3 linked regions of the Astyanax mexicanus genome follow. The protein of the gene in region 3 interacts with the protein of the main gene of each other region in a pairwise test. Links are inferred from orthologs where the notes say so. Each region holds a gene or a part of one and is shown on either strand. Other genes may lie near its edges.

Evidence for each region.
Region 1: the proteins of cryabb (region 3) and lbh interact in a two-hybrid assay, tested with the Homo sapiens proteins (2 studies listed by BioGRID, with this or other methods). The link is inferred for Astyanax mexicanus from reciprocal best matches to the Homo sapiens genes CRYAB and LBH.
Region 2: the proteins of cryabb (region 3) and crybb2 interact in a two-hybrid assay, tested with the Homo sapiens proteins (2 studies listed by BioGRID and IntAct). The link is inferred for Astyanax mexicanus from reciprocal best matches to the Homo sapiens genes CRYAB and CRYBB2.

What each region holds. Positions count from the first base shown.
Region 1 is NC_064414.1:6,389,690-6,400,329, reverse strand, and holds the start of lbh (protein LBH), read right to left. Parts: upstream 5,541-10,640; 5' UTR 5,428-5,540; coding exon 5,399-5,427; intron 1-5,398. UniProt on the Homo sapiens protein: Transcriptional activator which may act in mitogen-activated protein kinase signaling pathway.
Region 2 is NC_064419.1:32,323,724-32,334,665, reverse strand, and holds the start of crybb2 (beta-crystallin B2), read left to right. Parts: upstream 1-6,668; 5' UTR 6,669-6,796; intron 6,797-7,192; 5' UTR 7,193-7,217; coding exon 7,218-7,280; intron 7,281-7,592; coding exon 7,593-7,711; intron 7,712-8,629; coding exon 8,630-8,762; intron 8,763-10,257; coding exon 10,258-10,400; intron 10,401-10,901; coding exon 10,902-10,942. Other genes in the region: kazald3 (kazal-type serine peptidase inhibitor domain 3), read right to left, coding at 860-1,367. UniProt on the Homo sapiens protein: Crystallins are the dominant structural components of the vertebrate eye lens.
Region 3 is NC_064408.1:26,482,976-26,493,027, reverse strand, and holds the start of cryabb (crystallin, alpha B, b), read right to left. Parts: upstream 4,098-10,052; 5' UTR 3,884-4,097; coding exon 3,692-3,883; intron 2,812-3,691; coding exon 2,689-2,811; intron 2,025-2,688; coding exon 1,821-2,024; 3' UTR 1-1,820. Other genes in the region: hspb2 (heat shock protein beta-2), read left to right, coding at 5,257-5,350, 8,719-9,134. UniProt on the Homo sapiens protein: May contribute to the transparency and refractive index of the lens. Has chaperone-like activity, preventing aggregation of various proteins under a wide range of stress conditions.

The sequences.
Region 1 (10,640 bases), on a different chromosome or scaffold from region 3:
AGTAAAATAAATGATACTGGACAGATATAATCTGTCTCTAGTAGATATATAAAATGGGAAATTCAATAACAAGTTTAACTATTTTACAATACAATCCAACAAAAGTCTAAACTAAGTTTTGTGCAGCAATTTAAATCAATATGTAAGAAATCAGTTTTAATCAACAACAGCACAAACTTAGTAGACTTGAATTTACAGCAGGAGGCATATATGCAAGGTGTAGTTTGGCACAATAGTACCCAAATATAACTTATTAATTAAAAAATGGATAAACTTTGCAATTAACTTCCATTAAAAATGACCACAAAATGGTTTATGGATCCATGGCATCACTCACAAAACCATTTAATTGCATCTTCACTCTTGGGGTTGGATAGTAAAAAAGTAAATACTATATTTTTGCTGTAGTCAAGGTGACTACAAAAAAAAAAAAAGATAAAGTTTCTCTATGGTGCATGTTGAAACGTCAACCATGGAATTATGCAGATATTTTTGAAAAATCTGAGGAAACCCCCTCAAACTAGAAACTCAGCAACACTTTACTGTGGTTCGGTCTTAAAAGAGGTGAAGCAAATGTTAAAAAGGAAAATTACCCAAAGTTACCTTCAGTCAGACACCTACAGATTCACCCAGGTTTCCTTAAAAACACGCGTGACGGGGCTGAGAGAGCTTTTCGAGGCTGTTTAGAGAGGAACACAAGCGGTTCGAGCTGAGGAGAGCTACGTGAGAAGATAGATCAAGGGCCTCTGCAAACAAAACCACCAGCGACTGCAGAGAAACAGTTAACTGCAGAGACGCAGCAAGACAAGGGCTGAAATTCACTTTAGGAGGTTAGGTTCACACTTCCTGCCCAAAACACAACTCATAGTGGTTGAAGTGATTATGTAAAAACAATGCAACACTGACACATTGCTACTGCTAATGAAGGGTCACGATGTTAACCTGCTGTTTTGTTTTTGTGTTTTTATGAATTCTCTCAGCAACAGGTAAAAAGCTAGTCAGAAAAAAAAATAAAAATCAAAAAATGAAAAAAGTGGTGTGAGGCCTGTGTACTCCTCCATTTTCCTCTGAAGTAAGCTAATTGTTTCCTTCAGATGCTCAAAGGCTGAAAAAAAAAAACGAGCTAAATCCACAACCCCTGCTTTCTCACTGGGGTTTTCCACTGCAAGCTAGCTTGTGCTGCTAAACACATTGAGCAGAAGCTCAGAAAGTGTGAAGATCAGGGGAATAGGCTGCATCAGTAGTGCAAACCTGAACTGCGTCCCAAAGCTCAGGCTGCATTTCTGAGCCACAACAACACAGAAGACGGTTCTAGAAAGAAAGAACTTCTTGAATATAAACAACTACGGGTATACATTACAAACTAGGGGTGGGCGATACGGCTCTAAAATAATATCACGATATTTCATGGTATTTTCATAACGATACTTTTGGCGATATGACAAAACACTGAATTAGAAAATTATTTCGAATTTTATTATAGCATGCAATAGGATATGGCTAACTGAGATATTAAAAAAATAATAATAATAATTTTATCAGATTTGTAACAGAAGTCAATGATCCAGAATGTCAAGATACTAATAATAATGCACTTCAAATATCTCCATACATCCAGGATTAAAGTCAAATAAATGATAATACTGGACAGATGTAATCTGTCTCTAGTAGATACAGTATATAATGGGAAATGAGAACAGTGTGAATTTTTCTTTTGCTAAAAACAGCAAAAAGGTAGTACTTTGATGCAATAATTAGGGGTGGGTGATGGGGCACAATATGTCAGGGTATAATATCGTTCACGATTTTCAAATTTTTTGACGATATTATCACGTACGATATGATATGGCACACGTCTAATACAGACCAAAGAAAATTAAGATCCAAAATTATTTTAAGCGCCTTTTCTTCACAGTATAAGAAGTAGATTGGTGTGAGAGTCTGAATCTGAACCTCTACCTCACTCTACCTCCAGCTTTGGTGTGTCACATGATAAGCTCCCTCTGTTGCTACATTCAGGTAACACAGTTTGCTGGTATTCATGATGATGTTATTGCAGCTCTTTTAAAGAGTTTATTAAGAAAACACATATTATGATACCAATTAGATTTATTGTACAACCCAACAACCAATGCAAAAATAAACATTTAATTAAATAAATAAAAGCAGCCAACAGGCACAGTGCAAAACAAATCCATCAAGTTTGGCTCCACCACTAAATACAAAAGAAGGAATCTTTCTGAAACAGTATCACCATAAGGCACCACTACACCACTATATTCAATATTCAATATTATATAACTAAAGTCTACCAAGAAAGAGTCTTCATAGGAGGACAGTACTACCAAGGACATAGGCTGGAACTCCAGTCTGGTATCATGTTAAAAGATGACCTGATTGAGAACAGCCAAGATCCGTATAGGCAAGTCAGTTCACTCAGTGACCAACATGGAATGGATGCCATGATGAGCGTTGCAAGAACTCTCACATACAAACAGTGGTCAGTGGGTGGTGGTCTTCTCTTGTGACAATATCAGAGGGCCAAATGCGAGGCTAACGTAAAATCAATGTAATGGTGGATTTAAGCCAATGTAAAAACATTAAAAATAAGCCCGTGGGTCATTCACATGGATGTCTAACTCATGAAAAAGAAATGTAGTTAAGATACTGTGTTTTTCGGAGTATAAGGTGCACTTAAAATTCTTTAATCTTCGCAAAAATCATCAGTGCGCATTATGTATGAATTTTACCAGTCAGGTTGTAAGGAGCAGTAAAGCCACTCCGCTGAAGTACAGCGTTATACAGTAGTTTCAGTAAAGTTTCTCCAGCACCAAGGCTGGAGCAGTATTGGCATTATCCGCTAACTGCAGCGCTAGCTCTTTCACTGTTCAGAGTTGTGTATTTCGATCTGTAGTCTATACTGTAGTTTACCATGTTAAAACAAGCTATGTGGGACAAACCGCTAGCTGATAGCATCCTGGCTTACCAGAAGACTCAGGATTCCTCAGTGTAGCGCATAATTGGGTGCGCCCTATAGTCTGTAAAATATGATAACTTCCAAACATCGTACAACTAAACAAAATAAAATGCAACAAGCGCAAAATAAATAAAAAAAAAATGCAGAATTGATATAAAAACAATGCAAAATTTCTAATGTTAACCTTCCAAACGATTCAACCAAGGCTCAATTCAAATACACTAAGAAATATAAACAGTTATGTTTTAACTACATGTACATTAGATACTGTATATGGTGTATGAAAGTCAAACCTTGGAAGAATTAGGTAGATATAAGCTTTTTCTCATTCAAATCAATTTAGATTGATCAGACATGAGGGAGGCAGTCTGCTGTTTAAAACGACTGTAATTATTACACTAATATTTAGCTTGCATTGTTGTTATTCCATAATGACCAACAATCTTTAGATCCAATCCACAAAAATCTATAGACTTTATTTCTACTGTATGATAGTATATTGTAGTTTGTACAGAGTACACTGGAGCAGTCCTTTCACTGTGGAATGTGACCTTTTGTGCAGAATAGGAAGGTATCAATCTTGTGACTCACATCCACCGCAGCTCTGAACTGGAGTGGAAACAGCATTTTGCCTCAAATACATATGTATGTTCCACTGTGAGTCACACACTTTGCCTAATATATGGATTATGCTGTTATGTATTTGGCTGAAGCAAAGCTTTCTGGTGAATTTCAGTTCACAGTTTTACTGAGCGTAGATCATAAAAGAGGGGGAATCAATTGCACATAAACACATTTCAGGAAATACTTTCTAATATATTATGAAGGACTAATGTGAGAATTTATTTGTATTCAGCAGCAACAGCGTTAGAAAGCCTTAGATACTGGGGATGAAGTCATCAATCCATCCCAAAAGTAAAGGATGGAGCACCATCATTCCAGAGAACACAGTTCTACTGATCCACAGCTTAATTATGGCAGCCTTATCCATTAGGAAGGTTTGGCATCAGGTATGGTGTCAACAGGTTCATGATTATCTGCTCCAGAAAAATGGAACTGTGCAAATTAAATAAATGAAACGTAAACACAAAGCCATTTTTTTCTAAAAACGACATGCATGTTAGATACCAAAATCATGTAAAATTGAGCTTTTGGCTATTCAAACCAACTTATAGTCCCTAATAACAATACTCCTTTTTAATTAAAGGTTGCTACACACGTTATATGAATCTTGGATATTTTAAGGACACATAAAATTTGGTAAAAAAAAATGCAATCCTGCACAAAAAAAAAAAAAAAAACTTTCACCATTCGAACATACATTACAAAGCAAACCATTTTAGACATTACAGCAGAATGAAGCTAAAAGCAGTGTTTCAGCCTGAGAGCAACAAATCAGAGCAAAGCTCATTTACATACATCAGTCTTGTCATAGGGGTCATAGATCAGGAACACAGCCTGTTTCTTTATGGATGAAAACTGATTGGAAAAAGGTAATTTAAAACCAGTTTTATTACTTTTAGATATATAGGGCAGGAGCAACAAGTGATAATAAAAGTTTAAAATATATAGAACATAGCTACATATTTGTATTTATTTTTCTAACTACAAATCGTGGGCTACTTTGTCTTTTTTAAGTTGTTATTAATCAGAGTTTCTACAATTTTGTTATTTATAGGTATATGCTTGAGTAAAATGAACAGTGTTGTTTTATTCTACAAACCACAGACAACATTTCTCCTGGCTAAAATAACAAAGATGCAGAGCTATCAGAGCATAAATAATGCAAAGAAAACACAAGTTCATATTCGTAAAGTTCTAAGAGTTCAGAAATCAATATTTAGTGGAATAACCCTGTTATTTTTAAATCACAGTTTTCATGCATCTTGGCATGTTCTCCTCCACCAGTCTTACACACTGCTTTTGGATAGCGTTACGCTTACACTCCTGCTGCAAACATTCGAGCAGTTCAGCTTGGTTTGATGGCTTGTGATCATCCATCTTCCTCTTGATTGTAACGTTATTCCAGGAGGTTTTCAAATCAACAGTTTAACAACAACTTAAAGCAGCAGTAAACGCGGCATGCTTTGACAATCGCGTAAGTTATTAGCGTTTAATCGATTTGATTGATGCGATACAAAAACGCGTAAAATGCGTAAAATTGCGTTTCAACTAAAGCGCGTACGTAAACGTACGTACGTAATATTGCACGAAACGAAATTAAAACACGTGTATTTATTTATTTTTTATATAAAAAAACATGACTCGAGCATCGCTAAACTACACGACAATAGCGTTAACCTGCATAAGTTATCTGCATGGCTGCTTGTTGCACCCTAAAACTCTACAGTACTACAGACCCTTACAGACCATTTACTTCCATTATAACCAGAAATATTGCATATTATCTTAATATCTTACCAGTAGACTTGAGGACAATACACAGACATGTAGATCTTCAGCCTGGGGGCTTCACGAGCTTTCTTCAGCCTATTAAACAACAGGAACAGCAACAGCAGCTCCACACTCACTCACTGAGTCCATCCACAGCTCTCACACTATCCATCTCCGCCAGCTGAGCCTCAACTTTTATAAAAGGGGGCGTGTCCTACAGCTCTGACCACGCCTATTCCCAAATCTTCTCAATGGCAGCATGAGAATGAAAGAGCTGGCGTAGCTGCAGCATCAGCCTATCAGCGCGCGGCACCGCAGGCGCTGGATGACGACAATGGACAAGGCTCGTGCCATTGGACGGTGGAGAAACAATGCAGCACACGCAGCCAGGCAGACCGACACAGACAGGAGGATATGCTCTTCTCCAACTGGGAATAAACCACTGCTCCCAGTTTGACTGACTATATATATGCGTGCCTAGTTATTATAGAAGGTGCTACCAGTCTTTTTTTTAAGATTTTTTAAGGTTAAATAGGTTTAAAGTAGAGATAAATGAAGAAGAGACAGCTGAAGATGAGCTCTGACCCTGGTCCAGCCTTCATCCTCTGAGAGTCTCAATGACTCATTGAGCTCAGAGAGATGAGAGGTCTGGAGGATGATGCAGACAAATCATAACGGTTAGTATGAGGGAGCTATATATAAATATATATACAAAATATATATACAGCTCTGGAAAAAAAAATAATAATTTCATTGATTTTACAAAATTGAAAACCTCTGGAATATAATTAAGATGAAGATGGATGATCCCAAGCCATCAAACCAAGCTGAACTGCTTGAATGTTTGCACCAGGAGTGTAGGCATAAAGTTATCCAAAAGCAGTGTGTAAGACTGGTGGAGGAGAACATGATGCCACGATGCATGAATAAAAACTGTGATTTAAAAAAACAGGTTTATTCTATCAAATATTGATTTCCGAACTCTTAAAACTTGAATATAAATATGAACTTGGGTCTGAGAAAGGTCTGCATCTTTTTTTATGTTATTTCAGCCATTTCTCTACTATTTTCTAAATTTTATAAATGACGATACTTTTTATCAAATTTGGGAGAAATGTTGTTTGTAGTTTATAGAATAAAAGAACAATGTTAATTTTACTCAAACGTTTACCCATATAATAGCAAAATCAGAAAAACTGATTCAGAAACTGTAGTGGTCTCTTATTTTTTTCCAGGGGCTGTATAGAGGACACTTTTGGCAATATAATGTATGCACATCAGATTTATTATTTTTTTTCTGAAATATTGTTAAAGAATATGTGCAAACCTTTGGGAGTTTAACAGGCTCACAAATGCAATTATAACAAACATTTTATAATGAACTAAACAATGATTTAAAGCCTTTGTTTTCCCCTCATTATTGCAAAACACAAAACTGAAGCTCAAATTTTAGATTATCTCAATAATAAATCTCAATAATAGTTTGTCGCATTATGCCCAAAAAATTCTGCACATCAACCTTGATTTGTCAGCTTGTTATGGCAACTGCACTTGCACGTATCTCCACATCGAGAGGGAGTTTTAGCCTCTAGCACATGCTAACTCTCCTCCGCTCGCAGTGTAAGCAGCAAGCTGATTTGCTCTTGTTGTTGAAGGGTAGATTTTTATCTGTAAACAGACGTCATGGTAAGTGTTATGAGAACTCCCACATCTTTGTGTCAAAGCAGCATGAATTAATATTTATTTATTATACCACAGTTCGTTCCGACCCTGCAATGTGATTGGCTGAGAGGTGTTCTACGAGTACCGTTATCAGCCGGTAATGCACTACTGTAACCGAAGCTCTCAATGTATTACTCCACCACATGCAGGTAACCTAGAAACGTTGCAGCGCTTACAAGCCAAACAGCGCAGCTACAAACAGAGCAGCAATGGAATTATTTTAGCTTGCAGAGTGTTTATAAACAAGCCGATTGTTGGTTCGCCTGCGGCCTTGTGCCTAAGACCGCTGCACAGCAGTGTCAATATTATACCTTATAGCATTCCCTGTTGTGTGCTGTTGCTTAAATATCAAATTAGGATTTTAAATAAACTTTGAAGTATCGTAACACCCCTTGTACTGGTATTGGAGGTGTTAATAAGCACCCTCTGCTGAAATCGGGGTCAGTTGGCTAAACACAGATTATACATTAGCCTGTAATCTCCACAGATCAACACTGTCAACAGATCAGGAAGCTCTGGAGAAACCATATATATATATGTATATACATATTGAAACTACAGTATATGGTCACCAACTACAGCAGTATAAAGCCCCCAACATCCCAACATGAATATGTTGATACCATGCCTAATATCAGGGGTGTAAACCCCCCAGTGTTAGAACAGCTGTATAAGTTGTAAGGTGTTATCTTGTGTATCTTGAGTGAAGTTTAGTACTGGCCACCATGCCAGTTTTTCGATAATTAAGAGACTTATTTTTTTTTATTTGTCATCAATATTTTGTATGAAATAATAAGATTAGACATTTGACACATCTTTTCACTTTATGCAGTTTTTATATTTGTATATCTTATAGTTTTAAAAAAAAGGTAACAGAGTTGATCTGAAGATGGTGAGAGACACTAAAATGACATATTTTACAGAAAATAGATATTCTGTGGTATTAAAGTAACTAATCTTGAGCTTTTAGAAGAATTTTTAGATTTGTAAAAAAAGAAAGTGAAGACATTTAAAAATGTGAGGGTTTTGAGTCATTTAGTTAATTTCATATGAATAAAGAATAAAATGTGCCTAAAATCTAGGTCAAGCATTTTTAATAGTATTTTAGTGATAATTAGCAATATTATTAGATAGTGGGAGATAAAAAAAAAGTTCCCCTAATTTTAGAATGACTTATTTACACTTATTCTGTGGGTTCTGAGCCATTTCCTTCTTTTCTTTCTAGGGATATAGAATTACCAGTTCTTGCTACTCTTCTTTCTCAAATGAACAAAAGCAAAAATTAGGAATTTTTAGGAATTTTAAGGAAAAATCGAATGAGATCACCAGCAATGACATTGTACCGCCATTGACCTATTTAAACAGATTTTCTCATTGTTACTGTCCTTCACCTCTGTTCTTGATATGGAGGCCCATTCATACATTCCCAAAGCATCATCTCAGCATTATTATTATTAGTCAATCTTATTTTTATTGAGGTCACAGTGCCATCTGCTGGATTTATGATGTGTTGTGTTTAAATCCAGACTGGACCCTACTGGATATGTGTGGTACAACATTGTATTACTCTGCTGATGGAAATTCTGGGCAATTCCTCCATATTTCCACCCAAAGTTTGAGGTTTAATAAATGACATTCACAAAGGGTTTAAAGTGATAAATGTAATCATAAAGAAATATTTTGATTTAGACTTTATAAGAATGGTGGTGAATGTTTAATCATGTTTCAGAACCGATCCAAGGCATACTGGAACTGTGGCCACCTAGGGCCCCCATGCCACCAGGGCTTGTACAATGAAAAACACTTATCTCCAAAACAGCAACTTTACAGGAGAGAGAAAAAACCTTGTAAACTTTCAATGGAAGTCAATGTAAAAAGAGTTTATTTCAGGTCATTTTGAAGAGTTTCTAGTAGTCGGTTCATCAAGAAATTTTGGCACAGTGTAAGGGACAGTTTGTCTGTTCAAATTATGTAGTAAACTAAAAATATATAAAAATATATTTAAATATATTAAAAGTACATTATTATTATTTTGCTTTCATCAAATGTTTGAAAGTAAACTTTGATCATACTTTTTAAAAAGAACAATATAGTATATTTAAAAAAAATAGACTACTATGAAGTACACTTTTAGTTTAATGTAATTCAGTATACTTCTAAAATACTTATTTCCAAATATGCTTTTGTACATTTTCAGCAAAGTATGTTAAAAACAGCTGTTACAGTAGTTCACTTAAAGTACAATGTATCATGTAACTTCTTAAAAAGTAAATTAAATTACTAATAATTTAAAAAAATAAAATTGAATTTGAATTTCTAACACACTAAAAATTGTAGTACAGTATGTTAAAACATATATTTTATACCCAAAGATGTATACTAGAAAGGTGCTACTTACAAAAGACAGGAACAAGAAGCATATTTGTACTATAATAGTGATACAGTTCTAATACTCACTAAATGTATTGTAATTTTACTGTAAGCATGTTTAAAATATATGGTTACATACATGAAGTAATATGTTTAGATGTTACTTAAGATGTATATTTAAAATAGTTCCATTTTAGTACAGTTAAGTACACTAAAAGTATAATAAGTACAAAAAAGTTGTTCAATTTTAGCACTCTTTAAATATACTGATTAATAATAATAATAATGTGGCTACAAGATCACTTTAGTGCACTTTAGCATAATACTGCTTAGTATACTTTAATCTACTTTATTGTCACCAGGGTTGGTGCATTCTAGTTTGTGAACCCTTCATAATTTTCTACATTTCTGCATAAATATGACCTAAATCATCTTCAGATTATCACACAAAATCCTAATAACTCCTAGTAAAGGTTACAAAGGAACCCAGAGCAACTTCAAAGCAACTGAAGGCCTTTTTCACACTGGCTTAGGTTAAAGGTCATGAGTCCACCATCAGTAGAACACTGAACAACAATTCTGTACATGGTAGGGTTGTATGAAGAAAGCTTCTGCTACCCAAAAAAGAAGATTGCCTCTTGTCTGCAGTTTACTTAAGAAAGAAAGTTTCGTGGATCGATAAGACCAAGTAGAACTTTTTGGTGTGAAGAAGAGTTATGTGTGAAGAAAGGAAACCACTGCATTTTAGCATAAGATCCTTTTCCCATCTGTGAAACATGGTGGTGGTAGTATAATGGTTTGGGCCTTTATAATGGCTTGCCTTCATTGATGGAACATTGTACTTTGAATTAAATCTGATCATTTTAAAGGAAAATGTCAGGACATCTGTCCATGATTTGAATCTCAAGAGAAGTTGGGTCACTCGGCAAGACAATGACCATTTAAAAAAAAAAAAAAAGATAAAAAATAAAGTTAATGTTTTGGAAAAGCAAAGTCAAAGTTCTGACCTTAATCTTATGAAAATATTGTGGAAGGATCTGAAGTGAGCAGTTAATGTGAGGAAACCCACCAACATCCCAGAACGCTCACACACAGTGCTGAGATTCAGAGAGGAACTGAAACACACATGCAAATATACACAGATGCAGGTGCACACGCTCTCACCAACACCCCCATA
Region 2 (10,942 bases), on a different chromosome or scaffold from region 3:
TACCACTGAGAAAAATCAAGACTCAAAATCTGAAACTCTTTAAGATAATGAAAAAGAACCACTGAGAAGAACCTAAATTTAAAAGCTAAAACTCTCTAAGAGAATGAGAAAGAACCACTGAGAGCAATTCAGACTGAAAAGGAGAAATTCTCTAAGAACCACTGACTGAAACATAAACTCTAAGAGAACAAGGAAGAACCAACTTAAGGACTCAAATAAGACTTAAGTTTGTCAGACTCAAAAGAACCTTTAACCGCGTGATGCTTTTTTCAACCTTTCTAAAGTTATTTACACTTGTATTTTACCCTATTACATACATGCATTTTTTATTAAACCAAAATTGATTTTTTTAACTAAAGGATTGGTTGTTCAAACTTGTTCAAAGTTTTAAAACTTGTTATTTTTTAGAAAGCGCATGTGGTTCTTTTGTAAGTGTTAAGAACCCATACATTGGTAAAGAACCTTCATATCAAATAATGTTTTTTCAGAGTGGTTCTTTAAAAGGTTCTTCACAGTTTACATGGAACCTTTATGGAACTTTTAGAACCTTTATGGAACCAAAAACAACTATGTTGGGTGTGAAGAAGCTTTAAATTGATGAAGAACCTTTACATCACCTAAAAATGTTCTTTACACTCTAAAATCTTTTATACAAACATGATTCTTATATAAACAATGTAAAGAACACTTATCCTGGTAAAAAAAAAAGACTTTACACCAAGTGATTGTTGTTTGGACTTCTGAAAGTTTCCTTACATTCACAAATCTCTTCTACAAAATCTTAGTTTTTTTTCTAAATGTGAGTTCTTTCCACTTTTAAAAAACCCTCTACATCACTACTATATTCAGGGTCTCCTACCTGTTTTACAGGGCCCCTCACTCACGTTGAGTCCAGGACTGGAGAACGCTGCTTCTTTAAACTTGCAGAGGTTCATGTACGTCTTGCCGTCAGTCCCACACAGAGGTTCTTGTGACACACAAACGCACTGAGCTTCGGGAACACTTCCATCAGCGTCCACCACCTGCCCGGGTTCCAGCTTGCACTCCATGTTCTCTCCACAAACTCCGTATCGGACGTTCCTGTCCTCCAGATCACATGACTGACCCTCCAGGTTTCCACATTCGAAGCAGCAGCCGCAGATATCCCTCACCAGCCCGGCTCTGCAGCCCTGAGTCACCGGACAGAGCTCCGGCACACACTCCTCACACACACTCTCGTTCCTGTAATCCAGCTCGTCCGTGGCCTTGTAATAGTCAAAGGTCATGGCCAAGTCATCGTCCAAGTCGTCGTAGGTGTACTGAGGTAAACTCTGGCAGAGTCCCACACTTAGGAGCATGAACGCCATCCATGTCATTGTGCACCACATGGCTTTATTCTTTCTTTGAGTTAAATAAACTTGAAAACTTGCTTTGTACAATAATTCTACTTCAAATTGTTTGGTAAATTAAATAAAATAGATATTTGTATTTATATTAAACTATACTAAAGGAAAGGAAATGCTATAGAGCTAGCACAGAGAGATAACAGCTCAGAAAATGATGCTTGGATCAGCAAGTTTACCTAAGGTAGCCTTGGGGGAAATTACTACACACTGATGGTAAGTGTCAGAAACTAGGGAACAGGACCAAGTATTTAAATATTGGAAAAAGCAAATGCAGAAGCAAATGGAAAAAAACTCAACTATTATAGGTGGATCCAACTCAAAGACTGCATTTACGAATGTTTATGTAGCCGCAAATGTTCATCAAACTCAAAGTAGTTGAGTAATGTTTGGAACTATTAATTTTTATATAAAACAGACTCAATTTATTTACTTAATTCAAACTAATTATGTGATTATAGGATTAGGAAATCCAAAAGAAGAGGAAAACCAGAAATCTTAATGTCTGGAAAAAAGTCTCAATATTCTAGACATAGACAACCCTAAGAAGATTGCCTACCTATATTATGTTCCTAATATTCTCCAAATACACCAGAAAAATCCATCTAAGTGATCTGGAAACCCTTGAAGAACTCACAAGACAGTTGATTCCACCAGTTTCAAGATTAGTCTCCAACCAGGCATGAGCTCCAGAAAATGCTGACAGGTCCTGAGAGATGTTCTTCAACGTAAACAATGGTAAGCAATATTATCCCTGTGTCCTTTATACAATGTGTTCATCAAAACCATTTAAAAAATGCCATCCAAAAACACTTCAGTCTCTTCCAGACTTCCACTCAGTCCCAGAGAAAAGAGAGCAGAGTGAGCAGCAGCAGCTCTGCCTGTCCTGCTCAGGTTCCCACCCCCATCCTCCTTCTTCTCCTCCTCCTCCTCGTTCTTCTCCTCCTCCTCCTCCTCCTCTTACTCTACCTCCTGCTTCTGTAGATCAGCCCCAGGCTCCTTAAATCTTAACACCATCTGTGGACTAGAAAAATAAACAAAAAATACACCCCCGTCTCACGTTCCCAACCGTCTACCCTCTTGTGTCAGCCCCCAGCCCTATTCTGGTAAAGTCTCTAGGAATGCTGGGAAGTTAGACAGTTTAGCAAAGTAAAGTACAGGGATTATTTATATACCTTGGAGTACATGTTATTTATGATGGTTAATAAATCAGAGTAAACCCTTCAGACTTCAGTTTGACATAATTTACTACTGTACACCTTAAACAAAAGAGTTTTTGATTGGTTAGTAAATCTACCGAGTCTCTAAAAAACAGTAAATGGCAGTTCTAGTAGTAGAGGCACAAAATAAAAAAACTGTTAAAATATTAAACAAAAACTGCTAGTTTCCGGGAATAAAAGACAATGTTCTCTTTTTATTTCAACAGGATGGTAACATTCTAGCAGCAGAAATCTGTAAAAAGTAGCATTTTTCTGGAATCCCAGTTGACAGAATGTTACAGCTGATCCAGCCTTGTTTGCTAGCTTCTTTGCTGTTACACTGATCGCTCACTGAAGCCCTGCTGACAAGAGCTGCCAGCAGGGCCGCCGCTCTGCATACGCAGACAACGCAGCCAGCGTTAGGCCTCAACCATTTTGCAGTTGCAGGGAGCCAAATTGACTGAGAATGAAATGTGTTGAAATTATGACATTATTAAATTTAAAACCCAATGTGAATTATTTATGATACGCTCATCTTTTTTGTCTTTAAACATTGCATGGGGCACCTACTCTACTACTTAAAAGCGGCACGTTATTATTTTTGTGCATAATATAATGCCCCCACCCCTATTGCCTGAAATGGCACGGCTCGGTTTGCTCTGTTGGTTGTTGCCAGATGTGACATTTTCCAGTCAAATAAATAATCAAAAAATGCATGGAGGCGCTAAATCTTGCGCATGTTTAACCATTTTTAAAGTGTATGTGGCCATTCTATACAAAAACTTGTCCAGTGCAATATTTGTGTAAGTTAAAAACTTAAAATAAAATAAACAAATAGGATGAAAAATCGTAACTTATCTGGCAACCTTAGTCCTAACTAAAGTAGCAACGCTACTTGAGTTTGGCAGGAGACAAGTTCACCGCGCGAAGTTGCTACTAAATGGTAAATGGGGGGGGGGGGGGGGGGCCTCCCTGACCAGTTATGCTTAGGGCCTCCAAAACCTTAGCAGCGGCCCTGGCTGCCAGTGCTTACACTTAACATGTTTCCTTAATATCTGATGATACATCCTGACCATTTTTATAATTTACTACTGAAAATATAATCATTTGTGGTTCTTTAATGTCCTCAATATATAAAATTACAATGTAAAAATCATAAAAAAAAAAACATATTGATTGAAAAGAGATCTGTCCAAGATTCGAATTGGTACTCTATCTACATAACAACAGTCATTTTTGTAAAGCTTGAGAAAATATTAATACTTTTTAAATAATAGATAATTAATTAATTAATAGATATTAATTTTAAATAATATAAATTATGGCTCACAAATAATGGCACTTTACAAGTAAAGTAAAAAACCTTATCTTTCAATATAATATACTACTTAATATTTTTTGCCAATTCTCCTGTTTTTGGCATGCCACTGATGAGTGTGGTTGTTCAAAGAATGTTTTAAACATGGTTCTAACCTTTTACAGTACTATATAAAACCCATTTTCCTAGAGTTTAAATTGTTTGCACTCTAGGAAAAACTTACCATTGTTTAGTATCGTTTTTCTTCAGAAAGAAACACTAAACTAAAGCAGCATCTACTGAACCTGATTCCCTTGGAACTGTTATATCTCCAAAGCCTGTGCAAATTACCCCCTTGTTTTGATGTCAGCTCTAAGGTTCTACAGAAGTCCTCTATAATTAAATGGTTTAGAGGTAAGTAGAGTCATTTAGAGAGGGTTTGGTGTAAAACGCTTAAAAAGTCATAATTGCTCACAGTGGCAGTGAACAGAACACTGAAAAAAGCCATCTGAACCTCTCAAAAAACTCCCTCAAATTAGTTCAGTAAATGCTTATGAATGCACTGTCTGATGTCGCAGACACTTTTTAACACAGTTCTGCCAGAAGATTCTGGGTCTAAAACTGTGTATCATTTAAATAGTGGAAGGATACATGTGGGGTGGCAAAAAATAGTCCACAATGGGATTTCTTTTTCTAAGTCCCCTGTTGTGTTTTTTTCTGAGCTGTGAACCACAGCTGCAGTTAAATTAGTGGAGAATGTTAATGATGACACTCTGACCAAAATGATTGGATTGGATTTCAGCAATTCCTTAATTCATCCAAAAACAACCACAAAATCTCACTCACTTAGAATGAAGGTTAGTTGGGACAGTCAAAGCACCCAAATCTATAATTAGTGGCTATATTTAGCTAGAAGCTGATTTACACCATTGGATCTTTTCAAATTTGATATCAATTAGCAAATATTGTTGAATTGTGATATTAAGCATCTCTAGTATTTTAGTAGTAAAGTGACTCATAGAACTGTGACACTGTGATGAGACAAGAAGCCACCAGATGGCAACATATCGTCCACACTGACTGAAAACCTCTTCCTTTTAGAGTTTCATCAAGTTTTATTTTAAGTTTGTTGTAAAATTAGGTGACCATAGTTCAGTCTGGCTTTCTGGTCTTGGCCAGTATGTTTACTGTGCTCATACAAAGTCTTATGAAGCCTTAATAAGATGTTGTAACCCAGTAATTATAGGGTTTTTAGTTTTGAAATGTCTATAAAGTGATTACATGTAACACCTTTATACCATAAAAACAAATGTAACAATAAAGGAAAGAAAGTGTAAAAATCTCACATTTCCAAAAAAAAAAAAGGAAAATAGACTTGTTTTGTTACTTAAGTCACAAGAATGTTAATTTGCACAGCTTTATGCCAGGGAATTCATGTTTTTTTTGTATTTAATTTTTTTATGTTGGTACACCATAATTTTACTAAGTTCGGATCCAACTTCCTCCCACAATTCACTCTTTTTATTAAGCTTAAAATTAGCAACAGTGTTGCTACTGTTAAGTTCAGAAGGTAAATAACATAAGGTATATTTGTGGGAAAATATTTTAATTAATATTTTAAAAATATATTTTTTATTTAACCTTTTTTTTCTATTTTTTAACTAGAAGGTCCCTTGAGATTATTATTTCTTTTTTGATGGAGGATTAAATCTCATAACTGACTCTCCCTCAACTCTCATTATTGTTATCAATATAATTACATGTTTTTATGTACTAATAAAAGTGTATGTAAGTGTGACTACATGGTTCTCTTTTGTGAAGCAATTAAAAATTTGATATAAATTTTATATATATATAAATTCTATATATACAGTATTTCTTATATCCATATAAATATTTTTATCTTAGTTTTCAATCCCTATATATTATCTCTTTATATATATTTTGTCTCACAGTTTCAGTCTACTTTTTATTATATATATATTTATTATATATATATTCCATTTATTTTTATTTTTTTACAAATTATTTGGCTCTATAAAATATTTTTGTACACTACATATTTTTGTAGTTTTTTTTATGTGAATGGGCAGTCATCATTGCATATCACTAGCATTAGCGTTTTGCTTATTTTGTAAATTAACACCACAGATTGTCACAATTGTGCTGAACAATTGTAACTTACTATTTATTTATTTTTTTTTATTTCCATTTATTTTTATTTGAACAAATTTTTGTCTCTATGAAATATTTTTTGTACACTTTCATATTTTTTATGTGAATATGCAGTCATCATAGCATTTCACAAGCATTAACATTTTGCTTATTTGTATCATTGTATGAAAAAAAGCGAATTATTGCCAAACTGTTACCAAAATCATTTCCAAGTTGTCACTTAACACCACAGATTGTGCTGAATAGTAAAACATAGATATAATTCTCTCTCTCTCTCTCTTTCTCTCTCTCTCTCTCTCAGGTCAGCCTGGGCGTTTTTGCAGTCCGCCCTCATTGTACATCTGAAACTCTTGGCACGGGTTGTGCTGAATCATGGGATAGCGAACAAAGAGCGGCTGGGGGAAATTGACAACTAATGAAATAACTCAGTGGGCATCAAAAAGGGGAGGGCCAACCGGGCCTGCTGAGGGTGATGTTCTGGTTGGGGTTGTGGTCTTGGGTGGTGGATTGGTGGAGTGGGGCAGGTCGGGGGGGGGGGGAGTGTTGGGGGGGCGGTTGGTTGGGGGAGTGTATGTTGGCTCGATTTGTTTCGACCCCCCCATGGCAGCACAGCCAGCCTATTAGGCCTGATTATGAGTGTGATCTGAACTGAGAGAAGTTTTGGCAGAGTTTCCACCCCTGGGCTTGCTGTATATATTCAGCCCCCCATGCCACCCAATACAGACTGGCACACTGCAGAGCTGGTAAGACCCCAACGTCGGTTCCTGCCTTTATTTCTGCTCCACACATTACGCTGCTGCTTTTAGCTCTTGCTGTTGTTTAATTACTGAAAGTAATATTTAGTAACTGTATGTAATGTAAACTCTTATATAGAGGGATACTGTCATTACTATACATTTCTTATTCTGAGCTAAATTGTTTCAAAAATGTTTTTTTGGGGTTTTTTTTTACTGGACACTCAGTTTTGAAGTGTTGAGAGTGAACACAGCAGAAGGATTGTATTTATAATTGGATTAATTGGATTTATACTTTATTAAGAACATAGCATCAATTTTTATGTAAAATATGTTTAATTTTAATAATAAAGATTATTTCTCTCTTTCTCTTTTGATGAAATGATGTGACTTGCTGTCCTGAAGCTCGTCACACCCATCCTGGTTCACTATGGCAACTGATCACCAGAACCCTGCAACCAAACAGCAGCAACCAGGATCCAGTGTGTTTAAGGTGCACAAAATGAGAAATATATATTTGTTTGTTTATAATACATATCATATATTTCTGTATGGTATGTTGTCAGGATATTGTAATGTAATGTATATTTTCCGAATTTGCCTGCATTTGGTGTGATTAATACACTAAATAATAGAGCGCACACAGTGTTCTCTTCTATAGTTTTTGACTTTCTTCCGCTGTAAAGATCCACTGAATCTAAAATTATTTTTTTTATTTTATTTATTATATTAATTCTTTTAATTTTTATTATTATTATTAAAATATGAAGCAGTACTTGATCCTGTTTTTTTGTTTCTTGCACAGCTAGTTATCTACGAACAGGAGAACTTCCAAGGCCGCTGCCATGAGCTGACTGGGCCCTGTAACAACCTCCAGGATGCGGGCGTGGAGAAAGTGGGATCGATACTGGTGCTGTGTGGACCGTTAGTGTCTGTGTGTGTGTGTGTGTCTGTGTGTGTGTGTGTGAGAGAGAGAGAGAGTGATGGTGATGCAGTGAGAGTGGGCACATTCTGCTAGGACTGTGCTCGGATTTGAAAATGTCAAAAGTTAGTTGGAGAGATTTTGAGGTGGACAGACAGTCAGAGGACGATAGACAGACTGTATATCTGTCTGTCTGTTGAATAATCTCTCTGTCTCACAGTTTGTGTGACTAATAGATAAACAGAATATTAGTCAGATACACAAAAAACAGACAGAGACATAACTACACAGACAGACATGGACAAATAATAGATGTACAGACAGACAGACAGTGAGTCAGCAAGACACAGACATGGACAAATAGATACAGACAGTCAGATAGACAGACAGACAGTGAGACACAGAGAAATAGTCAGACAAATAAACAGACAAAGGCAGATACACAAAAATAGATAAACATGTAGACAGATATATATATATATATATATATATATATATATATATATATATATATATACACAGATAGATATTTATAGATATAGACAGATAAATAGATATGAATAAGGGTGTAAACAGACAGACAGATTGTGTTTCCATGAATCCATACTCAGAACTAGTTTTTGAGTGCAGTATCGATAGACACTTCTCTCCCACAATGCAATGCAAAACGGAAATGGAGGAGATACTCACGTTTGAAACAAATGAGAAAAGTGATGGCTAAAGATGCTAGCGCAGCAGCAGGTGCAGTAATGTATGTTGACACAGTCATGTTTATCAGTGCTTGTTAAGTGGGGTATTACATTAATATTTTGTGTACTTACCTGCCATACCTACACTATTAATATTAGTATCTATAGTGTGTATATGCTCTGAGCTTTTGCTGTGTGTGTATGTGTGTGTGTGTGTGTATGTGTGTACAGGTGGGTGGGGTATGAGCAGCCCGGCTGTAAGGGGGAGCAGTATGTGTTTGAGAAGGGCGAGTATCCTCGCTGGGATGCCTGGACCAATAGCCGTCGCAGCGACTGCCTCTTCGCCTTCCGCCCCATTAAAGTGGTAACTAACACAAACACACACTTCCCTCACTGACCTACAGTCTAGAACCTTCAGCCATCTTTACACTGCTCTTCTTAGTGTGATTTTTTTTTAGTACTGTGTAAAGTTTTTTCTTATCTAGTAAGTGTACAGTAACTGATTGGTAGCTACCCAGAAAACATGCTTATGTGGGACCACAATGTGTAACCCAACTGGAAACCAAATTGTTTTGTCCACTCTTTCACTGTTGGTCCCACATATGGATGCAGAGGTGTGCAGACATAGACATCAGGGGGTGCTAAAGCACCACCAACTCTGCCCTTTATCAACCAAAGTGCCCTTTTAAAACTTCTTTTTTAAAAATATTATTAATATTAAGATTTTACTGTGGCCGGTTTGAAAAGATCTTTTGAAAACCTGAGCGATTAAAAACGAGTGAAAACAGAATGCCCTGAAATCAGCTCGCACACACCCGACCTCTCTCTTCCTCTGTCACGTGATCCCGCGCGGTCGCGCGCAAGGCACACTAGATGCGCTGCAGCAGCAGTTCAGTTCAGCGAGTCTTCAGCACAGCACGCTCCCCCGTGTCCCACCAGCCAGGTAACATACACATCAAGTAAAATCCTACCGTTTGCCCTCTAAGCCCAACGTGAAATCATTTTGTTGTGCAGTAAAATGTCTCATACAGCACCAAACTACTAAGCATCTTTAGCCAACTGGTCACCAGATAAACTAGCCGCTCTAGCCCAAATCAACGATAGATAGCGTTTTTTTATAATGAAGTGTTCCACGTGCGCTAAAAAGTGCCCTTTTTCCCCCCCCGAGCACTTGTCCCCCAAAATGTCTGTGCACGCCACTGTATGGATGCCCACCATAGTTAGTGATGGGACCAGGAGGGGTTAAACATGGGCTCCAACTGGGTTGTACACTGTACATGAGGCCTACACTGGACCCTTGTGAGACTGAGATAAGCTGAAATGATTATAGCCCATTTGGAAACGCCAACTGGGTCCCAGCCAGAACATCCAATCAAAGCACATGCCCATCTAGAACCCTCCTAGCTCATGTTCCACTCGTGTGAGCACCACATGAGAATTTTGGCTGTGTTAATCAAAAGATCTCCAAAGCTCCAAAGTTCTCCTCATGAGAATCCAGTGTTATATACAGCTCTTATCATATCAACAGCAGGTTTGGTAATTAAGTGTTTAATGATGTTAAATCAGGAATGAACTTGTGATGGAATTGAACACATCCACTGGTTCACAGGAGAAATCTGGGATGAACTAAGCCTTGTTTTTCCAAACTAGCTCTCAAGATCCACAACAAATATTTTCTTCAATGTCAGAAATTATTTGTAATTTTAACTCTATTCATGTTTACCTGCATCTGTACTAATGTAATCTGATGTTTTAGTGATTTTAAATAATGTCATTAGGATCTAAAATTATGCAGTCTATTAAAGAGCATCTCCTTCAGTTCCTATAGCTCAGTCTGTGGTCTTCTTGTGCCATTTTAGGACAGCCAGGAGCACAAGATCGTGCTGTATGAGAATCCCAGCTTCGCAGGAAAGAAGATCGAGATCATAGATGATGACGTACCCAGCTTCCACGCTCACGGCTACCAGGAGAAGGTCTCTTCAGTCCGAGTGCAGAGCGGCACGTGAGTATGACCTCAGTCACTTTGATGGACAAGAGCACGTATAAGCACGTATACTACAACCATATTGGTGTTTCGTAGCAGCTGTTGCTGGCCATTCTACTTAATGAGAAACTACTGCAAATACTGTAAAGGTAAAACAAAGTGGGCTGTGAATGTTTTTACTGTGCTGAAAACTGCATGATGGAGCTACAGTCTCTCATCAGGGTTTGTAGAGTAAATTACTCTCATTTCTCAACTCACAATTTAAGTGAATTTGAACATGAACTTCTTCATAGATATTTAAAAAAAATGCTAAAAAAAAAAATAAAAAAGTTTATTATTTGAGTAAATACTCCCATCACATGGGATACTTAACTTTCTCAGCAGTTCTCAGCCAGCATGAAGTCCTACAACACTATAGCCAGTCAGCCATCATATAAGATAATACTGAATACCCAAAGGAATGGCTATACCCAAATAGGCAGAATATTAAACTCATCATCACCTCATCTTCACCCACAGCTGGGTGGCCTACCAGTACCCTGGTTACAGAGGCTATCAGT
Region 3 (10,052 bases):
GTTTATAGGGTCTCTTATACAAATATGGTTCTTTAGGGAAGTAAAAAAGGGTTCTTCTATGAGAGTGGTGTGGCTTTTTTCGTTTTCATTTCAGACAAGCAGAAGCACATTATCAGTTCCTGAAAAAACTCATGAGTTTATTAATTGTGCTGCTGGTTGGTTAGAATGAAAATCTGAGAGTGGAATAGACTATACATCACTGTTCTATGGTATTAGTTAAAGAACCTTGTAGAATGTTTAAAAGCAGTTTTAACCCCAGGACAATGTAAAAGACCAATCCTAACCAAGAACACATGAAACAGCTACTTGTGTGTCCCCCTCACTTGTGCCTTTTAGTTGATATAATAACTGTGGTCCACATTTACCTTTGCACAAAGAAAGTGTTTCCAAAAGTGTATTACGTTGTGTGCCTTGTTACAACATCACATCATTTCTTATTGAAGCAGCTTTCTCAATAATATTTTTGCAGACAATCTGCCCTGTAAAAACTAATTTCAACAAGTTAATGCCTTGTATGTGTGAGAATCCCGGGAGGTAAGGGAGAGGTGGGATGTCTGCTTTTGGGAGCATTGCTGTAAAAATAGATGGCTATTATAGATAGTAAACAACCTCCAATCTCTTTTTTATTGTTTGCAAAATGTAGTATTATATATTTTATGTAGAATATGAGCAAATACTTGATTGAAACACATTAAAATATGTGAAAAAGTCAGCAGACACATTCTTTAGGAAATCCAAACACCTCTGAATAATTTTTAACTAATTATAATCTCTTCCACCAAATTCCCACATCCCCATTTTTTTTCTATCTGCACTCCAAGGTCTATTGCTCCAAACCCTGACTGCATTTCTCAGCTGTAGGCTGTATAAGAAGAGCCCTTCACTTATGACAGGCTTTTATGACAAAGTGGCTGAGAAATGGAGCCAATCTAGACTTTGGAACGCAGCTTTTCAATATCAAACCAAACCTCATCATATTTGATTCACTGCTCCATTTATAACAAGATGTTTCCAGACGCCATATATCAATCCATCCAAACCAATGAAAAGTCATGTCTACAGAATCCCACAGAAACTACCAAAAAAAAGAGGTCACTTTCTTTCTATAACATTTCTCCTCACCTTGTTGCTACCTGCACTTGATCTTCATGTATCATCTGGTCCCAAGTCCATCATGAAAAGGAAGTACCAAATTACGAAACATACTCATTTTTCCTCGGCACACCACCTCCCACTTCACATGAAACGTTTGAAACCAAACAAACAACATTTTTTACCTCAGTGAAAATTCCCTCACAGTGTTCTTCCTCGTAGGCTAATTTCTTTTCACCGCTTGATCACAAAAATGCTCAAACATCCAGTCTTCCTACACTCAATCCCTCACCATTCTCTACTCCGTGCCACCATTGTTTGCCACTGACTGGCTGTAAAAGACAAAGAGCACTTTTGTTTGGCGTGGTTGTGGTTGGGATTGCTGAAGCAAAATGTGTTTTGCGTCCAGCGGCTGAGCGGCACAAACAATACTCCTGTGGTGTAATGATGTACATATCTCTGAGGACACGGTTTTGATGTGCCAACCGAATTAGACAATTCAGTGATCACTATTTAGCACAGAAACATGTGCTAGAACAGTTACTAGCTAGCTCAGAAATGAGCCCTTTGATTAGGACTAGCCTCTGGAAAGGCCAAGCCTCTAGAAGGTTCAGCTCAATGCTAGCACTGGCTTTTCCTCAAAGCTTGACTTGGGATGTGAAGGTGGAAGATAAGTGCAGGGGGACCACAGCGGAGGGGAGACAGAAAGGAGCAAGTATCTAGCAGCTTTACTTTTTCTGTGAGCCAGAGATAGCAGGCTTTTCTTCTCGAGTGATGGGAATGGAGCGCTCAGGCTCATCGGAGAGCTTGCGAGGGGCTGCAACCATGAGGATGCCATCTGAAGAGAGTGAAGAGGTGATACTGGCTGGGTCGACCCCGAGAGGGAGCCGGTATTTTCGTAGGAACTCTCGTGAGACAAACCCATGGTCATCCTGGAGAAAAAGATATACATTTACAGGCATTAAACAATGAATACTGACTGAAATATGATATTAGAGCAGTGTTAGCCAGACAAAACGCTTACATCAGAAGGTCAATGCTTGTAATAAGAGTGGACCAACTTGACAAAAAGGTTTGTTGGAGAAAAATTGAGAAAAATACCCCTTCCTATACGTAATAATTACAATATTAACTTATCGTATAATGTATGGACATCTGTTTTTGTTTTATTTATGTTTTATTTATTCAAGATATTCTAATTTCATTTCTATTGTCTGAATCATTAACAATTTATTGTTCTTTAAATGGGTTTAATTGCATTATTGTGCTATTCTATCATTATTCTAATCAGTGACATAAAATAGTCATAGAATTACAATAATATTGTTAATTGCACTTCATGGGACAGTATGTTGTCTAATAAAATCTCTTATCTTGACAGGCATACTTTTTTTATGTTTTTCTTGTTTAACCATATTCGATCAATCTAAACTGGTCTAAAATCTATTTAAATTATATTCAATGAATTACATCAAAATAATTAAATTGAATTAAATCTAATTAATTAAATCCAATTAAGTTAAAATTATTAACCAAATTCTGCAAGACAGGGGTACTCCATAACCAGAGTTAGAAACCACTGCTGTTTGTATTTACCTGACGATCCTCGTGTTTAGCATGAACCTCAATGTAACCGCCGTTGACCTTAACTGCCAATTCCTCAGGTGCAAAGTGTTTTACATCCAAATTGATGGTAAAACGGTCCTTTTCCATTTTCATCTATAAAAGACAGCACAAAACATGAATGTGTTTTGATTTCCAGTATTCAGTTTTATGTAGCTTAAGTGCTCCCTTCCAATTTTAAAACACAGTTTACATAATCATGATTACATGATTTGCTAGAAATAACAAGACATTGTTTAGAACTTAACATTATAATATTGTATGGCAGGGTTATTCTGTATGTGGACTACTGTTGTTTTTATTGTGGATATAGTACAAAATAAAAAAATATATAAACTTTTTGTATGCAAAAAACTGTTATCTGTTTTCTTTTCTTGCTCTTTAGTGACAGAGATGGAAAGGACTTCTATTACAGGGAAATCACTGAGCCTTCCAGCAGCAACATGTGCTCATCACCAAACATATTGATAAAATGGCATCTTTAAAATTGCTTCTTGCAAGGAAAAGTTGACAATGAACACCCTTTAAACTTGCCTGAGAAAAGCACAAAATAATTGTGCTTAATTTATTGTAATCAAGGCCACTGTAAGAGGAGTAATATGAGGTGACAACAAAACTACTCACAGAACACACATTTATATTGCTCATTTGTCCTGCATGGTCCTTCAGAGCAGTGGGAATGTTGTAAGATACACATTTTAATTTTCCTGTTGTAGGGTTTCTTAAGCTGTCTTCTAGATTAATGGTAATTCACCTCCAGGCAGGGAGCTCAGAATCCACAAAAGCAACCTTCTCAAATAACTTTTCCTTATTAGTCCCTGTGTCATTTATTAAGAGAACACCACTGGCAACACCGTTCTCCAGTATGGGGTTCTCCAGCCGAGGTTACCCTTTTGCCGTACATTACGTAGATTTATAGAGTTATAGAGTTATAGAATGTACCATGGAGAAATACACAGATGTCAGAGCTGCTTACCTCTGATAGCCCACTTTCCACCCAACTAGGTAAGCGGAAGAAAGAGGGTCGTGGGTAATACAATGAGGGGTAGGGGGTCAACATCTCACTCTCTGGGATATGCTCCCCGAAATGCTGGTCGAAGATCCGGCTGGGGAAGAAGGATGGCCAGAAAGAGCGGCGGAACCAGGGATGCTGGATGGCGACGTCCATTTCGTCTTCTGACCTAAGGCTAGCGTTGTCCTCCTGGAGAAAAACCTGTTGTCTGCCCAGCCTGCCCACTTATATACACCACCAGTAGCAGTCACAGAGCCAGGCCCAGCCAGCTGCGGATCTTTCTGGAACAATGATGTAAACTGTTTGATGGCCCCCCTTTCGTTGCGTCCCTCCCACTCTCCTCTGCAAGCTGTCTCATCCCTCTCTACCAGATACCTCTCTCCGTATTTATCTAAACCGGTGGTGTGATTTCATTCAGGCAGATGCCGGCCGGATTACAGGGCTTGCTCTGAATACCCATTTGGAAACTTTGCCATACAGAATCTAATGGGAGGTGCTGAGTGTAGCCTTTGGTTTTTTGGCTTTTCTGGCACAAAAACTGTGGACCAAGCAGCCTAGCTGTGTGCCAGAGCAGATTATCATGTTCATGTCCTGATTTGGCTTTATGTAGTTTGAGGTCTGAACCCCCTTTGAGGGTCTTTTGTCTTCGGCAGAACACCGGGCGCGAGGCCAGTTTGTTCGGTGGGCTGATGGTGAATGGTTGTGGGATCATTCTGCAGGGTTGAGCACCATACAGAGTCAATGTGCTTGCAAAGAAGCATTTCCCTGGTGCCCGCCAGCCTCAGCGGGCTTAGTCAAACTGGCACAAGCACCCGGCACAGTGCCACTTACGCAGTCGGCATAGCAGCACAGTCCGTCATCAGTCATCTCCTACCCACTCTGGCCTACCCACTCTCAGTGGCTGGTAATGATTGTGACCGGCAGTGTCTGGCTAGAATTGTCTATGTGTACATACACGCGTCTCTGGTAGAAACCCATTCAATGCAGGAGACCTACACACATATACTACAGGGCAGGGCAGGAGTCTTTAGCTTTCATGGTACATTAAACTAGTTATTGTTCCATGACTTATTGTATATTCTATTGAATATTATGCAGAATTCTAGATATGCACCGACATAACATTGACAGTACCCTTGGGTATTTAACTGACTTCCTGACCTTTTCACTTTTATGTGTATATGTGGCTGCCCCAAGTTGACAACTCATCCATTAACTCCAATGAGTCTCAGAACAGCTGCTAATTTACTTTCCTTTAGAAGAAAGCCAACCACTCTGAATAAAGAGACCCAAAACACTGCCCAGAATTATATCACTCAGTGTGTCTCCCCCTTTAGGCTATGCAACACCAGCGTGTGTGTGCGCCACAGGCTATTTCTGGACCCGTTTATTACCAAGGTCCAGGCACTAGGGCACAGACTTGCTGCCTCTCTTTTCTCTGTACTCTCCATTACAATCCTGCCTGTTTGTTGTACCTGAAAGGACTGCTACATTTTCACCAGCACTGGACACCCGGCCCATGCTTTAGCATGGCTGACCGCACCGTTCCCCATGCTTACCCCATGAGTATGAACTATGAGATGTGTACTCCTGCACGGATTTATGACCAGAACTTTGCAGAAGGTAAGAGAATCTTCAATCAAAAGTCAAGCTCACTTGTATTCAGATTGCTATGCTATTTGGAGGGAAGATAAAAGCTGCCAGCAACAATACATGATTGCAAATTAAGACGTGGATTAAGATGTGGGAAGTATTTATTGAGCTACACATATTGAAGTAGTGTGTAATGCATGTGTAATGTGTAAACAAGCCAGACGTCTCCTAACAGTCTCCTGCAATAAACTATTCCATGCAGCTTAAATTTTAACAATATTTCAACAAATTTTGCAGAAGAGGTGGAGTTTATAGCATGTTCAATAGAATTCCACACATTTTTAATCAAGGATAGGTCTGGTGTTGTGTTTTTTTTTTTTGGAAATCTCTTAAAATGGCAGTAGAATATGAATGAGCATTGTTCTGTTGAACCGCAGGGTGCATTCTGAAAAGGTATTGGCCACTGGTTGAAGGACGTTATTAATGTAACCCTGGGCATTTAAAACTGACTGTAGAGGTGTTCTGGTGACACCAGGCCCTATAGATGTGCAACACATGACAGCAAACTGTTGATCTTGGCACTTTCCACACATACGTTGGTTATCTCCATCCTTCAGCCTGTCACAACTACCCGCCAAATTTTCTTCCTGTCAGTTAATTCCTTCTGGGCGCAACTATGATAAGTGTCTTATAAATCCAGATAAATTGCTTCAAGGTGTTCTATCAATGGCATTATTTTTCATTCACAAGATATGGGCTACTCAATAATATCTTTAAACCAACAACAGCTGAAGAAAAAGTTTCTCTTTCATTTTGAATAAGAAAAAATTTTACTTTTTTAAACTGCATGAACTGCCCTACTTCTTCAACAGCAGACTTGTGATATCAGAGGATGAAGTTAACATGAGTTGTTTAATTGCCAATGAACCTGCACTAGAAGGGCCAACTGAAGTGATGACTGCCTGATCCACTATCCCCCATGACAGCTTTTTATACTGGAGGGAAATATAAGGCCCAGGCTAGGATTTATATTTAGAATACCACACATGACAAAGAGTCCAAGGCTACCACACAAAAATAACTGTCATCCACTGCTGGACTGAATATGAACCAATATCTCATATCCAGCACTGAGCAACCACAGTGTGTGTCATTAATGGTAGTATATATACATGAAGATAAGGGCGCAGTATATGATCAAAATAAAAACATGACGCTTGACCTGCGCTGCTGACACTGTTTGTAATTAGACCTGATGTAAGAGTTTCTGGTGTTTTATAGAGGGGAGGGACGTTCTATTTTTATGGTACTGTCAGGCAAACTCTATGAGGAAGTGAACTCAGTTAGTAGATTAACAAAAATCTAGATATGCACAATGATATCAGAAGAAGAATTATGTATTGCTTAAAACTGCTTTAAATGTTATGTCCACACCAGAGAGATGTTTAGACGTAACTGATATTTTAAAATTATATTGATCAGCATTTGAACAACTTAACTGCATTTGTAACACTACACAATTCAGTTGGGACAGTATACAGAATGCAAATAATAATAAAACACTGTGTTTCTTACATTTACAATTTTAATTGCATTACAATATGAACTGCTCAACTTCATTTCATGTATTAATGTACAGCTCTGGAAACAAATTAAGAGACAACTTCAGTTTTTTAAATCAGTTTCTCTGATTTTGCTATTAATAGGTTTATGTATGAGTAAAATGAACATTGTTTTATTCTATAAACTATGGACAACATTTCTCCCAAATTCCAATGAAAAATTATGTCATTTAGAGCATTTATTTGCAGAAAATGAGAAATGGCTGAAATAACAACAAAAATGCAGAGCTTTCAGACCTCAAATAATGCAAATAAAACAAGTTCATATTCAGAGTTTAGAAATCAATGTTTGGTGGAATAACCCTAGTTTTTTAATCACAGTTTTCATGCATCTTGGCATAACTTGGATAACTTTATGCCACTCCTGGTGCAAAAATTCAAGCAGTTCAGCTTGGTTTGATGGCTTCATCCATCTTTCTCTTGATTATATTCCAGAGGTTTTCAATTTGGTAAAATCAAAGAAACTCATCATTTTTAAGTGGTCTCATATTTTTTTCCAGAGCTGTACATCTATTTCTGTGTTTTAGTCCTGTAACACATTCCACAGAAGTTGCGACATTAAGACATTTACCGCTTTGCAACATTGCCATTCCTTCTCACAATATTTAAAAGACGTTTTGGCACTGGGCATAGCAAGCAATTAAATGGCATTATTTTGGTTAATTCTTGTTGCAACAATATCTTAAGACGTCTAACAGTAAATGGTCATCATTTTTGCATTTTTCTTTTAATTTTTTTTCTCACATTTTGTATTGTGGTCAAGGCAGTCCAGCACGATACCCTCTTATTCTGCACCCATGCCTTTGTTATGTGTGCAGCATAAGGTTTTGCATTGTCATGCAATGCATGGATGTCCCTTGGTATGTGTCGCAGGCCTGAAATGCAGGAATGGGTGTATATTAACAAATTAAATAAATATGACTACAGTGAAATAAATGCAAAGTAAAGAAAACTTTCTTGTTTTATAAGCATTTCCCATACTGTGAGAACTTTTGCCTGATCTGATGATGTAGTAGGAAAATCAGAATACTGTTCTGATTAGGGGTGTGACATATTGTATCGTAGACAATAATATTGCTAATATTTTTGAATATGGTGAACGATATTATACCCTGAAATATCATGCCATATTACCCACTCCTAATTATGACATCAAGGTGCTACTTTTTGCTGTTTTTAACAAAAGGACAATTCACACTGTTCTCATTTTCCATTATATATCTACTAGAGACAGATTATATCTGTCCAGTATCATTTATTTTACTTTAATCCTGCATATATGGAGATATTAGGAGTGCATTTTTAGTATCATGACATTCTGAATCATTGACTTCTTTTACAAATCTGATAAAATTCTTGTATTTTTTATATCTCAGTTATGGGTGTGCCATATAATAATGTATGCAATAGTAATATTTCATTTTCATTTTGTTGCAGTAATGTATTCTAGAATAGTGTATTCTTTTAATTTATTGTTTTGTCTTTTCGCCAAGAGTATCGTTATCACAAACAAAAAAAAAAACATGAAATACCGTAATATTATTTTAGGGCCATATCACCCAACCCTAGTTCTGCTAATGTCAAAATTCACAAACAAGCCTTTACCTGCTAAACCCTACACATACACACATGCATGCAGAATCTACTTGCAGAATATGGTAATGCATTTGAAAAACAGCAGGACTGACATAAAGAATTGAACACAAATGGAGCTGCTGGCTTTTACTTTCACTGCTAACCCTATCCCCTCTGTTGACCTCACCCCCCTATCCCCAGCCCTGTCCCCTCAGGACCTGATGGCCCCAGTTTTGTACCATGGTTACTACATCCGGCCTCGCATCAACAAGCAGCTAGAAAGGGGCTTCTCCCAAGTAAACAGCGACGATGACTGGTACCGCATTCAGCTGGACGTCTGCCACTTCACTCCAGATGAGCTCAATGTACGAACAGTGGACAACCTGCTGGAGGTCACCGGCCGCCACGCGCAAAGAATGGATGACCACGGCTTTGTGAGCCGAGAGTTCACGCGTACCTACATCCTTCCCATGGGCGTGGACCCACTTCTGCTCCAGGTCTCCCTTTCACATGATGGGATACTGTGTATTCAGGCACCAAGGAAGCTTGAAGATTTGGAGCCTAAGATTAATCAGCTCAAGATCAAAATGGACAAGAAAGGAGAGAATAGCAGCTAAAATGGCTTATTATAGATAAAGATATTTTTGCTTAAGGAAGTAACATTGGTTTTAGGTGAGGAACAAAGGTAATAACCAACCTACTGTACCTGATCTCATATCTCCGCTCACTTCCTCAAACAGCTTTGCCTTGGGAAAGTCCATGCAGTGGCAAAGAGTTACCACTTTACAATGGCAATATCTGTCTGAATTTAGCCCAATTGTTTTATTTGTGAAATCCTCTGTCTCTCTCACTAACATCAGTGGATTAAAGGTCATATCAGGGTCTATTTTTTTTGGGCTGTTGCTGCAAGAACACTAAGAAATGTCAGCAATGAAAAAGAACATTTGGTACAGTGCCACAGTTCTATATGTAATCTGTTGCACTTTTATTTTCTGATTCACTTTAATGAAATATGCCTTTATAGTTAATTTACTCCTTTAATATAGTAAAACCCCTCTCTTTGCATATCTCATATTAGGAAGACAGATAGCAGGGACAGCCATACTTTAGGACCACTGCAACAAGGTTAAGGCCTTACTCAAGGGGCCAAGAATGTCATCTTAGTGGACCTGGTTATTAAACTCTATAATCAATAACTTTAACATCTCTGACCATATTAAAAACACATATGTTGCATATGTTGAAATATGTTGCAAGTATTATTTGTAACAGCCAACAACCAAAACCAGTGTGATAATACATGCTATACCTTTATCATTTCAAATGTATGTGTTAGTGCTTTTGAACAAATAAGCACTTACTGCTCAGATGCATTGCTTTTGCAAAGCATTTTAGTATCTCCTGACTCCTGGAGATACCAGTTTTTGTTAAGAGCAACTAGGAACTTGGAAAAGCATTAAATATCTTTTTGATATTACTAATAAACTCTAGACTCTTATAGACTCTTATTTTTTGATATCTTCTTTTATGCATCA